Caenorhabditis elegans: one gene and its partner. The protein of the gene in region 1 interacts with the protein of each later gene in a biochemical or structural test. Each region holds a gene or a part of one and is shown on either strand. Other genes may lie near its edges.

What was found.
Region 2: of the proteins of ubr-1 (region 1) and lin-28, one has a biochemical effect on the other in vitro, tested with the Caenorhabditis elegans proteins (one study listed by BioGRID).

The regions. Positions count from the first base shown.
Region 1 is NC_003279.8:3,813,360-3,818,882, forward strand, and holds the start of ubr-1 (E3 ubiquitin-protein ligase ubr-1), read right to left. Parts: upstream 3,451-5,523; 5' UTR 3,438-3,450; coding exon 3,284-3,437; intron 3,230-3,283; coding exon 2,979-3,229; intron 2,773-2,978; coding exon 2,470-2,772; intron 2,413-2,469; coding exon 2,121-2,412; intron 2,062-2,120; coding exon 1,420-2,061; intron 1,063-1,419; coding exon 734-1,062; intron 685-733; coding exon 1-684. Other genes in the region: npp-11 (Nsp1_C domain-containing protein), read left to right, coding at 4,720-4,831, 4,879-4,971, 5,043-5,523. UniProt on the Caenorhabditis elegans protein: E3 ubiquitin-protein ligase which is a component of the N-end rule pathway. Recognizes and binds to proteins bearing specific N-terminal residues that are destabilizing according to the N-end rule, leading to their ubiquitination and subsequent degradation.
Region 2 is NC_003279.8:8,406,478-8,412,539, forward strand, and holds lin-28 (Protein lin-28), read right to left. Parts: upstream 4,328-6,062; 5' UTR 4,327-4,327; coding exon 4,186-4,326; intron 3,444-4,185; exon of another isoform or gene 3,255-3,443; coding exon of another isoform or gene 3,207-3,254; intron 2,864-3,206; coding exon 2,657-2,863; intron 2,020-2,656; coding exon 1,684-2,019; 3' UTR 1,155-1,683; downstream 1-1,154. Other genes in the region: F02E9.1 (Vacuolar ATPase assembly protein VMA22), read left to right, coding at 449-534, 585-653, 706-790, 845-997, 1,041-1,112. UniProt on the Caenorhabditis elegans protein: Heterochronic protein which controls the choice of stage specific cell fates. Regulates the timing of the second larval stage events (L2 events) in the hypodermis.

The sequences.
Region 1 (5,523 bases):
AACTCCGTATGTATACCGTTCACAGAGAATCAGAATCAGACATTGTATGAACTCTTCAGCGATCATCACCAACGTCTTACTCAGATCCTCTGATTCCGGTTTCGCTGGTTTCTCATTCGCCTTGTCTTGTTCAAACTCGGATGTAGCCCATTTAAAGAGACGGAATCGATGAAGAAGGTGGAAAATGAATTTTGTTGACGGTGTGAGTGCAGCTCCTACTTGCATCATCAGAACATCACGATCGAACATCTCATTTCGACAGAGTGGAGAGAAATAATTATGAATCTGGTTTATCAGCGAAAATCCATTTCTTCTCCAAAGTGTCGCGTTGGATTGTGCACACAGGACGAGCACTCGGAGACTCAGTTCGTAGAGATTCGTCTCGTCCTTACAGTTGATAAGTTCTTTGATTCTTTCTTGATTCAAACTCGTATGTGAATTATTACTTCTATTCAACAAAAATCCCGTGTAATTCGAAGCACTAAAGAGACCCGCGATAATTCGAACAACCGGCTGATGGACCGAGGTGGATGATTTAAGCACGTCAAAATGTGATATTCGACATGATTCTCCGTTGATAGTGACCGTCAATTCATAGGTATCCTCCTCGGATTTTGTATAGACAGGTGGCATACGATTCATCAATTCAAGGCACATTATCATTAGACGATTATGAACTTCTTCCTGAAAATCCAATTATTTTGAGATTTTTAATTACTTCAGGAAAACTCACATTAGTTTCTGCCCATCCAATAATCATCGAAATCGCGTCTTTCAATCGTAAAAGGATATTGAACGCTGTTTCCCACTCAGATTCCCACACTTGATGCTCAACGGCTTGTCGTTTCACCTCATCCATTCCTTGCAGATGCTGCAGGAAAAGCAGAAAATCAGCGAATCCTTGAACAAATCCATCGATAAGTTCTCGATTCCAGTCGCTTTCCGATGGCACAGCATTCAGGATATAGGCCATATCTCGAGTGATATGAAGGGATCTTCTTAATTCTGGTGGAAATGAGCGACTTGTGAAATCAAATCTCGCGATTTTTCCGTCATTGTAATCTGAAAATTAGAGAAATTCAAATATTGGTTTGATACAGGGGAGGGCGGCTTTATTTCTATATTTCCGGCAAAACGGAAATTGCCGAAGTTTTCGTTTTTTCGGCAAATTGTGGTTTTGCACATTTCTTTTTTGAAAATTTGAGAATTTCAATTTCAATCGGCAAAATTGTACGCATCGTATAAATGTTCTCACATCTATTTTGAAAAGTAAGCAAATTTTATAAAAATAGCTGAAGAAAATAAGAAAAAATTTCAAAAAAGAATCCCAGTTTTAAGTGTTTCCGTCTAACAACTTCCGGAAACTTGCCAAAAATCAAAATTTCCGCCCACGTCTGGTTTGATATTTTCAAAACTCACACTTCACAAATTTATCAGTCTGATCCCGAATCGCTTTCGATATCACACTGAATGCTTGATCTTCGGCGACAAGTTTCCGAGCCAGACTAGGAACAGTCATGAATTGAACTGATAACCCAACAACTGAAACATCCATCTCATGATCATCTTTAATGAAATCCTCGTAAATTTCATTATAATGTAGCATAAAAGCCTTTGCAAATCGAACTTTCTGATCATAAATCATGAAAACTGTCCGCATGAGCATTTGATGCAAAATCGATCTTCCAGCTTTCCACATTTGTGTATCCTGGAGAAGAATATTCTCTAGCATTGTGAATGTTGAAGAATCTCGTGAAGGACCTGGAGATTCTTGATGTTCTGAAACTCCTGCCAACGCTGCTGTTATCTCTTCTTCATCATCCGCGTCAATTTCCATTTGCAGAGCTTCTCCACCAATATCGTCGTCATCCATTTCATCAACATCCATTCTTCCATCAAGTGCGAATAGTTCTTCCTCTTCATCATCCGGCAAAACCATAACATTTCTGATAATTCCGGCAACTAGACGTTGATCCTCTGACTTCATTTTCCGCGTGTAATTCTTTTTCAGTGCAAACTTTGAACTCAGCAGAATTTCTCCAACAATTTCGCGAAGGGGAGCTGAAAATAAAAACACGATTTCGAATAATGAAAAGAAATAAAAAGAAATAAAAACTAACGAAAAACATCCATCTGTGTGTTGAGCCAAGTAAGAAGGGAGATCGAAAAATTCTGAAGCGCGAAAAGCGTGGTATCCATAACCTTAACACTTAACGGTAGATTATGATTCGATGATCTTCGAATTGACGTTGGATCTCGAGCTGTTTTTCTCTGAACATCATCCTTAGCTTTGGTGCAATCAGCCTTACTGCCAAGTTTCACAGCACTTCGACCTTCTCGATCGACAATTGTGGCTACAAGCATCGCCTGATCCTTTGTACAATGTATGTACAATTCCAGAACTTTGATCACCTGGAAAAAACGGGGAAATTGAAGATTTAATTGAAATTCGGAATATTAATTACTAACAGATTCATAAGTGTGAGTTTCATCATTGTAAAGAACCGTCAAATATTGCTGTGCCTCATTTGTAACCTCTGGCTTCATTTTCTCGAAAATTTCGGGAAGTTTGAGATCATCTTTATGAGTGATCATTGAAAGGGAAAACTGTAAAATGATTTCCACCAGCTGTTCACATCGTTTTTTCAATTCTGGAGCCAACACTGCCGCCTCTTCATCGTCCTTTTTCTCGTGATTTGCACATGCGTAACCTTCTGTCCATGCATCTGCATCACCACAGTCACAATATCCCGAACCGGAGGAAGAGTGCATCTGGAAATTTTTTTTCAATTATAAATTGGATTTACTTAAATATGCGTGTTTTATCATTCATATTCGCTCAAAATAATCAAAAACTTTTCAAGATTTTGTCTATGTTGGTTTAAAATTTCGAGAAAAAGGGCAAGTTTCGGCTAAAATCTGAATGTTTTTTTTCAGAAATTTTCTGTGGAAATTGATTCATTTTGAGGCATCCTCACTTTGTATTTATGAGATTTATGAATTGAAACTTCAAAACACTGAAGACACATGACACATGTCCCATCAGTGGCACAATCCAGACATGTATACGTAAGTTCTCCGTTTTTAAATACATGGCCACAAATTTGTCCCCGTCTTGCAGGATCAACTCCGGCAATGCCATTCATTGCTTCCAGTGTGCTCTTTGTGTTCCGAACGTCTAGTACAAATGCACTGACCAGTGGGGCTAGGAGAATCTCTCCTTGGGAACCTGAAGCAAAATTGGCTTTTTAATATATATGTTTTTTTTTTCAAAAAAACCCACCTAGAATTCGTTCATTCGCGGCTGTATTGTCCCATGGCAAATCCGAATTCACTTCGAACACCTCTGGGACCTGTACAAGCCAGTGCTTGAGCAGCAGCTGGCGTACTTGGGCCCATTCACCCTGTCGAGCTGATTGTATTAAATCGACAATCATTCCATTAGTCGAACTGAAATCGGTAGCTTGATAAAATAGGAGCATTTCATCTAAGAAAAAGAGGATTCGTAAAAGAAAATAAAATATATTGATTATTTTCCGACCCCCCGATTATGCTGCTGATGACCATATCAAAATAAGCGAACGAGAGGACAAAAAGCAGTGATGGGAGGCAAAAATGATGACAGTGGACACTAGGAGAAAGTGAAGGAGATGAGAGAGAACGGGAGGATATAGATTTGCTTCTCTCTCTCTCTGTTTTCGATGCGAGAGTGTTGCCGCAGATAAAGAGCTCTCACGGACTCGGTGCAATGCATCGTGGATTAAATAATTCAACAATGAGGAAATTGAACTATTAAAAATATTGATTATTTTTACGTGTCAGCGAATTCACTGGCGAAGCAATAAAAAAAAACTTTTTTTTAAAATCAGACTTTAGAGCACGTGGACTTTGAATGTTTCACTCATATAACGTCAAAATAATTTAAAACTATATTTTAATAAAAGTTATTTGACTTTAAAAGCAATAAAATATACTTTTTCACCGAAAAAATAACTGATTTCGCGAAAAAAAACAATCTAAAAAAATAAAAATAAAACCCTTGGGAAGTGGATCGTGGCGAGACCCTGAAGGTGAGGCATGCGCCTTTAAGTGTTCGGACTACGGTACACAAATTTCTCTTTTTGTTTTCAATTTCCTAATTTGCGTGGATCGCTGAGAGTTGTTAGATTTTTGAGTTTGTATATAGTTTTCTTTTTTATTTTCATCAAAAATTAAAGTATTTCTTCGTGAAAAGTACTTGGTCAGCAGGAAAAAAAGGTTCTCCCGCGTTTTTACCCCTTTGTGATAGAAAACTTTGCATATTCAGAAGCTTGCTCATCGTTTCGATGATCGAGATCTTTCTTCACATTTCATAACTTTTTTAAAATATCAGTATAAAAAATGGATCAATATTATAAGTTGTAATCGAGAAGTTAGAATAGCAATAGAAACCACAAAGACATTCGGGCCCAAAAATATTTATATTTTCAAACTAACTGCAGCACATGAAATTATCTTCGATTTTTCTCCTTCACGCCGACGTCGCGTGCTCCTCCCAGCCGCCGGCCTAGTCTGCGGTGTTTTTAGGCCATCATTTTCGCGCGACCACCAAATCATTTTTCGAATCTCGACGCGCTCATTTGTGCACTCAAATGACTATTTTCTGCCTCTCTGTCGTTTTCTTTTTGTCAAATAATATTGCTGCCCTTTAAAAATATTAAAAATATCATTCCAGATCAAATGTTTGGAGGATCTGCACCAAAACCGTCGATTTTCGGAGGAACCGCTGCTACCACAACAGCCTCATCTGGATTTTCTTTCGGTAATTCGAGCACATCAACAGCGAACACAGGTATCGATCGATGAAAAATTCAACTAATTTATTTTTTTCGTTTTTAGGCGGAAACACGAATACTACCGGAGGTTTTTCTTTTGGATCCGCACAGCCGAGCACTGGAAGTACTGGACTTTTCGGAAACAGCACAGCTACTGGTAGGTTTTTGGTTTAATAAACTTGTAAAATACGCTCCCGTATTCAAAAAGTATAATTTTAAATTTTTCAGGCTCAATGTTTGGAGGCTCCTCTGCTGCAGCTCCAGCCCCAGCGTCTGCTGGAATCTTTGGAAATTCTGGTGCCGCGGCGCCAGCTCCCGCTTCAACGAGCATTTTTGGAAGTTCTGCAAATTCAGCAGCACCTGCTACAGTAACGTTTGGCGCAAGCGCACCATCAGCTGGTGCTGGCATGTTCGGAGCTAATAAACCAGCTGCTCCAACTGGCGGCTTGTTCGGATCATCCACAAGTACCGCAACAACTGCACCAACTGGCGGGCTTTTCGGTAGCTCAACTGCTGCGCCATCAAGTGGATTATTCGGATCCACGGCCGCTCCAGCAGCACCAGGAGGACTATTTGGAAGCACTTCCACCTCTACAGCGGCTCCATCCGGCGGCTTATTCGGATCTTCAGCTGCTCCAACTTCCACAGCCCCAGCTCCTTCTGGTGGTTTGTTCGGGGCTGCACCAGCTACTAGCAATGCTGCTCCAAC
Region 2 (6,062 bases), 4.6 Mb from region 1:
TTACGATTTGAGTGCAAATCTTCTCGTTTTGCGATCGCCAACGAAATAACTTATAAGAACTGAATTGTTTTGTTTCTGGATTATTATCTCACACGTAATCTCTCCGACCTTGGGTTTTTATAGAAAAAAATTAATTTAAATACTGGATTTATATACATTTTATTGTTAGCTTCAACTTTTCCAAGATTGTTCAGAAATTTCCGATTATTTAAATTAAATACTCTAGGACAAAATGTTGTGTGACCCATCGACATTTCTAATTTGAATTCCCTCGGTTTTCATTAGCATTGTGCAATAGGGCGCACTTGCTGTTTCAACCAATTTTTGATCGTTCTCTGCTTTTTTCAATCATTTTCTCTTTTTCCTTACTGCTTTACAATAAAAGCGTATATTTCCAGTGATGCCTGCGCAATCAATAAATCAGAAAAATGATTTATACCTCGAAAAAATGGAATTAATCGACAAATTCATCACCCTTCACGATCAACTTCGAAAAGACTTGAACTTGGCAAGTTTGTGTATTTCTAAAGCAAAGTAAGTTTTATTCGTTTCGTAAAATGAATCTTTATCGAGAAATTGTTCAGAACAACGCACGGAATTGGTCTTTTCAGTGTTAATTCTGTCGATACACACGATTTGGAGCCATCTATCAGGTATAAACTACTTTTTTTTGAATTATACTTACTTAAGTGTATTCATTTTTAGATTGGATACGAAAAACGGGAAATTTGTACTTCTCAAAAATTCAGAGAATGAGGAAGAGAAAAACGACAAAAAGAATAAGAAAAAGGTTTTTTGCAATCGTTTTTTGTTCCACAAAAATTTACATTTAAATTTTTTGCAGAAGGACGAGAATAAATCAGAAAAGAAGAATAGCGGAGAATCAGAAGACGTTGAAGAAGCCAAAAAAACATTTTCTGGACAATTCCGTCCGTTTGGGGTTCTTGAGCCGGCTGCTGCAAAGGACGCTCGAAAAATTTATAGAAATTCTATTCAGGTATTGAAAATCTCAGGAATTTAATTTCAAATCCATTTTTCAGACGATTCTCGACCTTGTATCCACCCAACAATCAATTCTTGCCAAATCCCGCCAACTTGTTGAGGATTGTTAAATTGCATGATTCTGTGATAAATATGTATTCAATCAATATAAAAACAAAACTCTCGATTTATTTCAGCGTTCGCCCGCAATAGCGGAACTTACGAGTAGAGATTTTCAGAGAAAATGATGGATTTCAGCAAGAAATACATGAACATGAAAAGACACGAAAGTTAAATATATTATAAGATTTATAGATCCTGAAAACAGGTGCAATCAGTTCTATTTGAAAAAAAAAAGAATCCCTGAGAGTGCAATTTGAGGAGGTAGGTGGTAGTATGGTTTAGAGGGGAAATTTGAGTAAAACAATTGAAAAAAAAACATCAAAATTTGAATAAAAAAAGAGTTAGTGTGTAAGTTAAAGTAACGCATGCAAACTGAGAATTAGATGAGACAGAAAATGAAATAAATATTGGTTTCAAAATAAAATACATTTCAAAAGCTGAAAAACTATCAGAAAGCTCAAAATTATTTCCTAAAATTTTCACATTTAAATTTGGATGTTCAAGAATTTCGAGACAAAATCTATTTGAGACCATATATTCCATTATTTCTCTATCAATATTCTCAGTGTCTAGATGATTCTATTCATCAGAGGAATTACTATTCTTTTCTCTAATATCATCGTCAGATGTAGTCGGTGATGATTTTTCAGCTGCCATTCTCGCAGCTTCTGCTTCCTCTGCGGCAACTTGTTCCGGTCGATGCTTTCGTCGTCTTTCAGGACAGATTGAGCTCACGTGCTCCTCGGATCCACAGGTATAACACACTTTTGCATCGGTTTTTACGTTTGGACAACTTTTCGCCTTGTGAGTCGCAAACTTTCCACATCTGAAGCAACGTAGTGAGACAGCCTTCTTACGACCCAATGGATGAATTCGGCTTCCTTTCAGTCCTTGTCCTTCTACTTCTCCTGATACCTGAAAACTGTATAAAATTGAGTTGGATTTTCAATTTACATTATTATTTTGCTTTAATATTGCACTGGAACAAAAAACTGAGAATGCGCATTGACAACATATCCTGTAGCGAAAACTACAGTAATTTTTTTAATACTACTGTAATTAGCGCTAGTGCCGATTTACGATCTCGAATGAAATTCTTTTCGAATAGTGACAGCGATATTTCTTTTTTATTCTTCGTGTTTTTTTTGCCCCTAAATCGACACAGCTACAATAGTCATTAAAATGATTACTGTAGTTGTCGCTACGAGATATTTTGCGCGTCAAATATGTTGTGCAATACGCATTCTCAGAATTTCGGATTCCCGTATCTCAATAAATTGCGCAAAAATACCATAAGCAAAGTTTCTCTCGCATTCAAAATATAGGTTAAAGCAGCGTTTTTTTTTAGTTTTTAAATATTATTTTTCAAAAATACTGACAAAGATTAAAGAGAATTCGTAAGAACTAATATACTTTCTAATTGACAGAATAGGAAAAGCTTTTATGAATTATGCTTGATTTTTGTCAGGTTTTTTTGATGAAAAAACAAATTTAAAGAACGCTGACCTTTTTTTTAACTTTTGCTGTTAGAAAAAATAAAAATAAAACGAACCGCATAAGCTTCTCTACCTTTTCCATTCGATCGCTCTTGAATGTAGTATGATACACGTTCTCCTTCATCAAGACTCCGAAATCCTTGCATATTGAGATTAGACTGATGAACGAATAGATCTTCACCGGTGATGTCATCGATCACAAAACCATATCCTTTCGACACATTAAACCATTTGCATGAGCCAAAGTATCGAGGTGTTGGTGACTGAAAAAATTAAATTATTTGAAAGGCATTATGACGCAGTTATTAATTGACATCTTCTTTATATAAATTTTTTAATTTACTGAGTTTTCAGTAATATTTCCTCATTTTAACACCATAAATAATCCACTCTCAAAGTATTTAGGTAACTAAATATTTTTTTTAAATTGCTAAACCGTTAAGATATTTTTAATTAAAGCTCTTCTCGTCGCTCCGACTTTTATTTATAAATTACTTTTTTTCCGGTTTTACCCCGAATCGTCACTGGAAATTCGAGACTATTTACAATCGAATCAATAAATAAACAGTGATATTTTTTCAGTTGCAATTTCAATTAGTTACATACCAATTGAGATTTGATGGGCACCGGATTCTCCAAAGCGGCTTCAATCATTGTTCTAATTAGAACTATGTGTTAACTAGAGAATACAACCTATCAAATATACAGAACAACAATACCACACATACAAATAATAATAGTAATGGGTGAGAGAGAGCACAGAGAAAAAAAGAGTGGCGAGGAAACCCAGAGATTCGAGGAAAGGATGAGTGAGCGGTGGAGGAACTGAATTAGAGATCATTTGAAATGTGGAGTGTTCACAGAGAAACCGACAGGAGGGCATTGGGCGAGGAGCTGTGTGCGCGACACTTCTTCTTCTCAGCTGACCTCTCTCTATTTCTCTGAATCTCTGTTTTTATTCCGCGCGGAAGTGTTAGAAAGGAGAGAGATACCGTATACCAAATAATGATTTACGGATGATGGAAGAATGAAATGCACCTGCAGTTAATGGGAAATCGACTCAAACATCTTATGAACATTCTATATCTTTTGTAAGAATGCGTAATTCTAAGAAAACAAGTTTCTACAATTAAAAAAAAAATTTCAAAGTCAGAGTAATTCCAAAATTGTTTGAAACTATCTGTACTATGCTTAAATGGTCGATTATCATCATAAAAAGTGTAACAATGCTAGAAATTTCTCAATAAGATCAAAATTTTAGGAAATGTACCAAATCCTTAACTGACATTTTCGAAATATCAAAAAAAATATTTGGAGTCTTCAACTAAAAACTGTTACAAAAATATTTACCGAAAATTTCTGAAAATCTAAAAATTGGAACACCAGAAACCAAAATAAAACTGTTTCTGGGTTTCGATAGATTCAGTAAGGTTTGATTGAATTGTCAAAGTTAATTTTAGAGTCATTTGCGAAAATGTTTTATAATTAACTATGCTTAAAAATTGAGAATTAAAACTTGGCTTAAACGAAAAATTTTCGGAAATTAGATAATTTTATAATTCTAAACAAAAAACTAAAAACTTACCGGGAGCCTCTCGAAGGAAGGAACTCTCATGTTCTCAGTAAGCCTATTGTCAACTACATCTGGCAGCCTATCTTCAACTTCATCTTGTGGTGAATATCGGTTATTCCCATCATTCCTTCCCTCCGATACTACCGTCGACATCCTGAAAAAGATTTTTAAAATTTTTTTTTGAGAATCGTCACGTATTTAAATAAAGTAATATACATATATGTAGTTCAGTACTTAATTGTGAGATTTTTAATTAAAAGCATTGCTGAACTTCCGATGATGAAATTAAAATTATAGAAAGAAACTATAAATTCAAATAGAAGCAAGATTGGAAAATGTCAAAACTGAACAAACGGATGATGTTGGCACCGCGCCAATCATCTATTGTCCTCAACACAGCGCGCTTGCAGTAGCGTCCATCAACACCCGGTAGCACAGAAACTAGATGGGTTTGTTCATGATACTCAGTCTGGAAACATATATTGGCTACTATCTCGAAAACCGTCACAAAGTCGATTTTGCGATGCATATAAGAAATGACCGCAATGAAATTATCTATCTTTATTTGTGATGAATGTTTGATTTTGTACTTCCCTGCCAAGTTATGCATGTTTGTTCGGTGGAGCGCGTTTGCACCCATCTAGCAACTGAACCACCGTGAACAACTATTTCTACACCATACTAAAAGAAAAATGAACGGAAATAGTATGATAAAAATGGAGAAATGCAGAGAAAAAGAGATGAAAAATGGACGGCATCGGATGGACGAAGGGTCAGGCGCCAGGACAAAAAGTGATCATTGAAAGTGGGGAGAGTGGTAGAGATAAAGAGAAATTATACAAGGGGAGCAGGGCGCCGGAGGGCGATATATCGGAAAAAAGGAATCACTTATTCAGTATCAATAGGAGATGGAAAAGAAATTGGAAAAAGAAATGAGCATGGAACAGTATTTTTTTTTTTTTTGGAACAGTAATTTTATTTCACCTCTACATCTGCATTTGGTTTTTCCAAATTATTCCAAAAGTCCAAATTTCGATTTGAACTAATGTATTATCAGGTTGTTTCCAAGTTAGAAAAAAAGAAATATCAATTTCCAGCTATTCATATTTCTTTCTATAAGACTTGATTAAACCACCCATATTGGATTAAACGTGATGCAGGTGATCTTAGGTGCAGAGGAGAGAATTGTCGAATAAGAAAATGAATTGAAAATTGAATGATATTTAACCGCCGCAAAAAAAGAACTGACAAGCAGATAAGAACGGTGAGAAGAGATGAAGAGAAGCAGAATTTTCAATTTCTTTCTCACCTTCGTTGCAAAGAGGCTTTGAAGTGATGGAATGGAGATAAAAATGAGATGATCTGATATAATCAACAGTTGGTGGATATCTGGTGGCAACGAATGTTTTATGTTATTTTTTCGACGGGAAAGAGATGAGATTCAGAGGTTTTTGATGATTGGTATCTTTTTGATTTCATAGTGCAAAAGATTTTCTGCGGAATCGAAAATAACTTAAAAATTAAAAAAAAAGCTTTTATCAATGATTTTCTAGCTTTTGAAAAATTTAAGTTATAATTAAATACTGGTTTCAAAACCCAGAAACCAAAAGAAAAACGAATATTTTAAATAGTGTTGAAACCGAAACACAAACGCCTTGCACACATCATTTTCTTGTCTCTTCGTTTGTGCCCCGTTTCCTCTCTATTCTTGTTTTCTTTGTATTTCTTCATCTCACACGCTATTTTTCAATGCCAAGGTTTTTTCAACAGAAAAGCGCTCCGAGATGTGATCGGACAGACAGGAATGCTGGATGGGTTTTATGGCAGTAGATATCGAGAAATGTCTTGGTGAGACTTTCGGATAAATATTTCACAATGAAAACACAAAT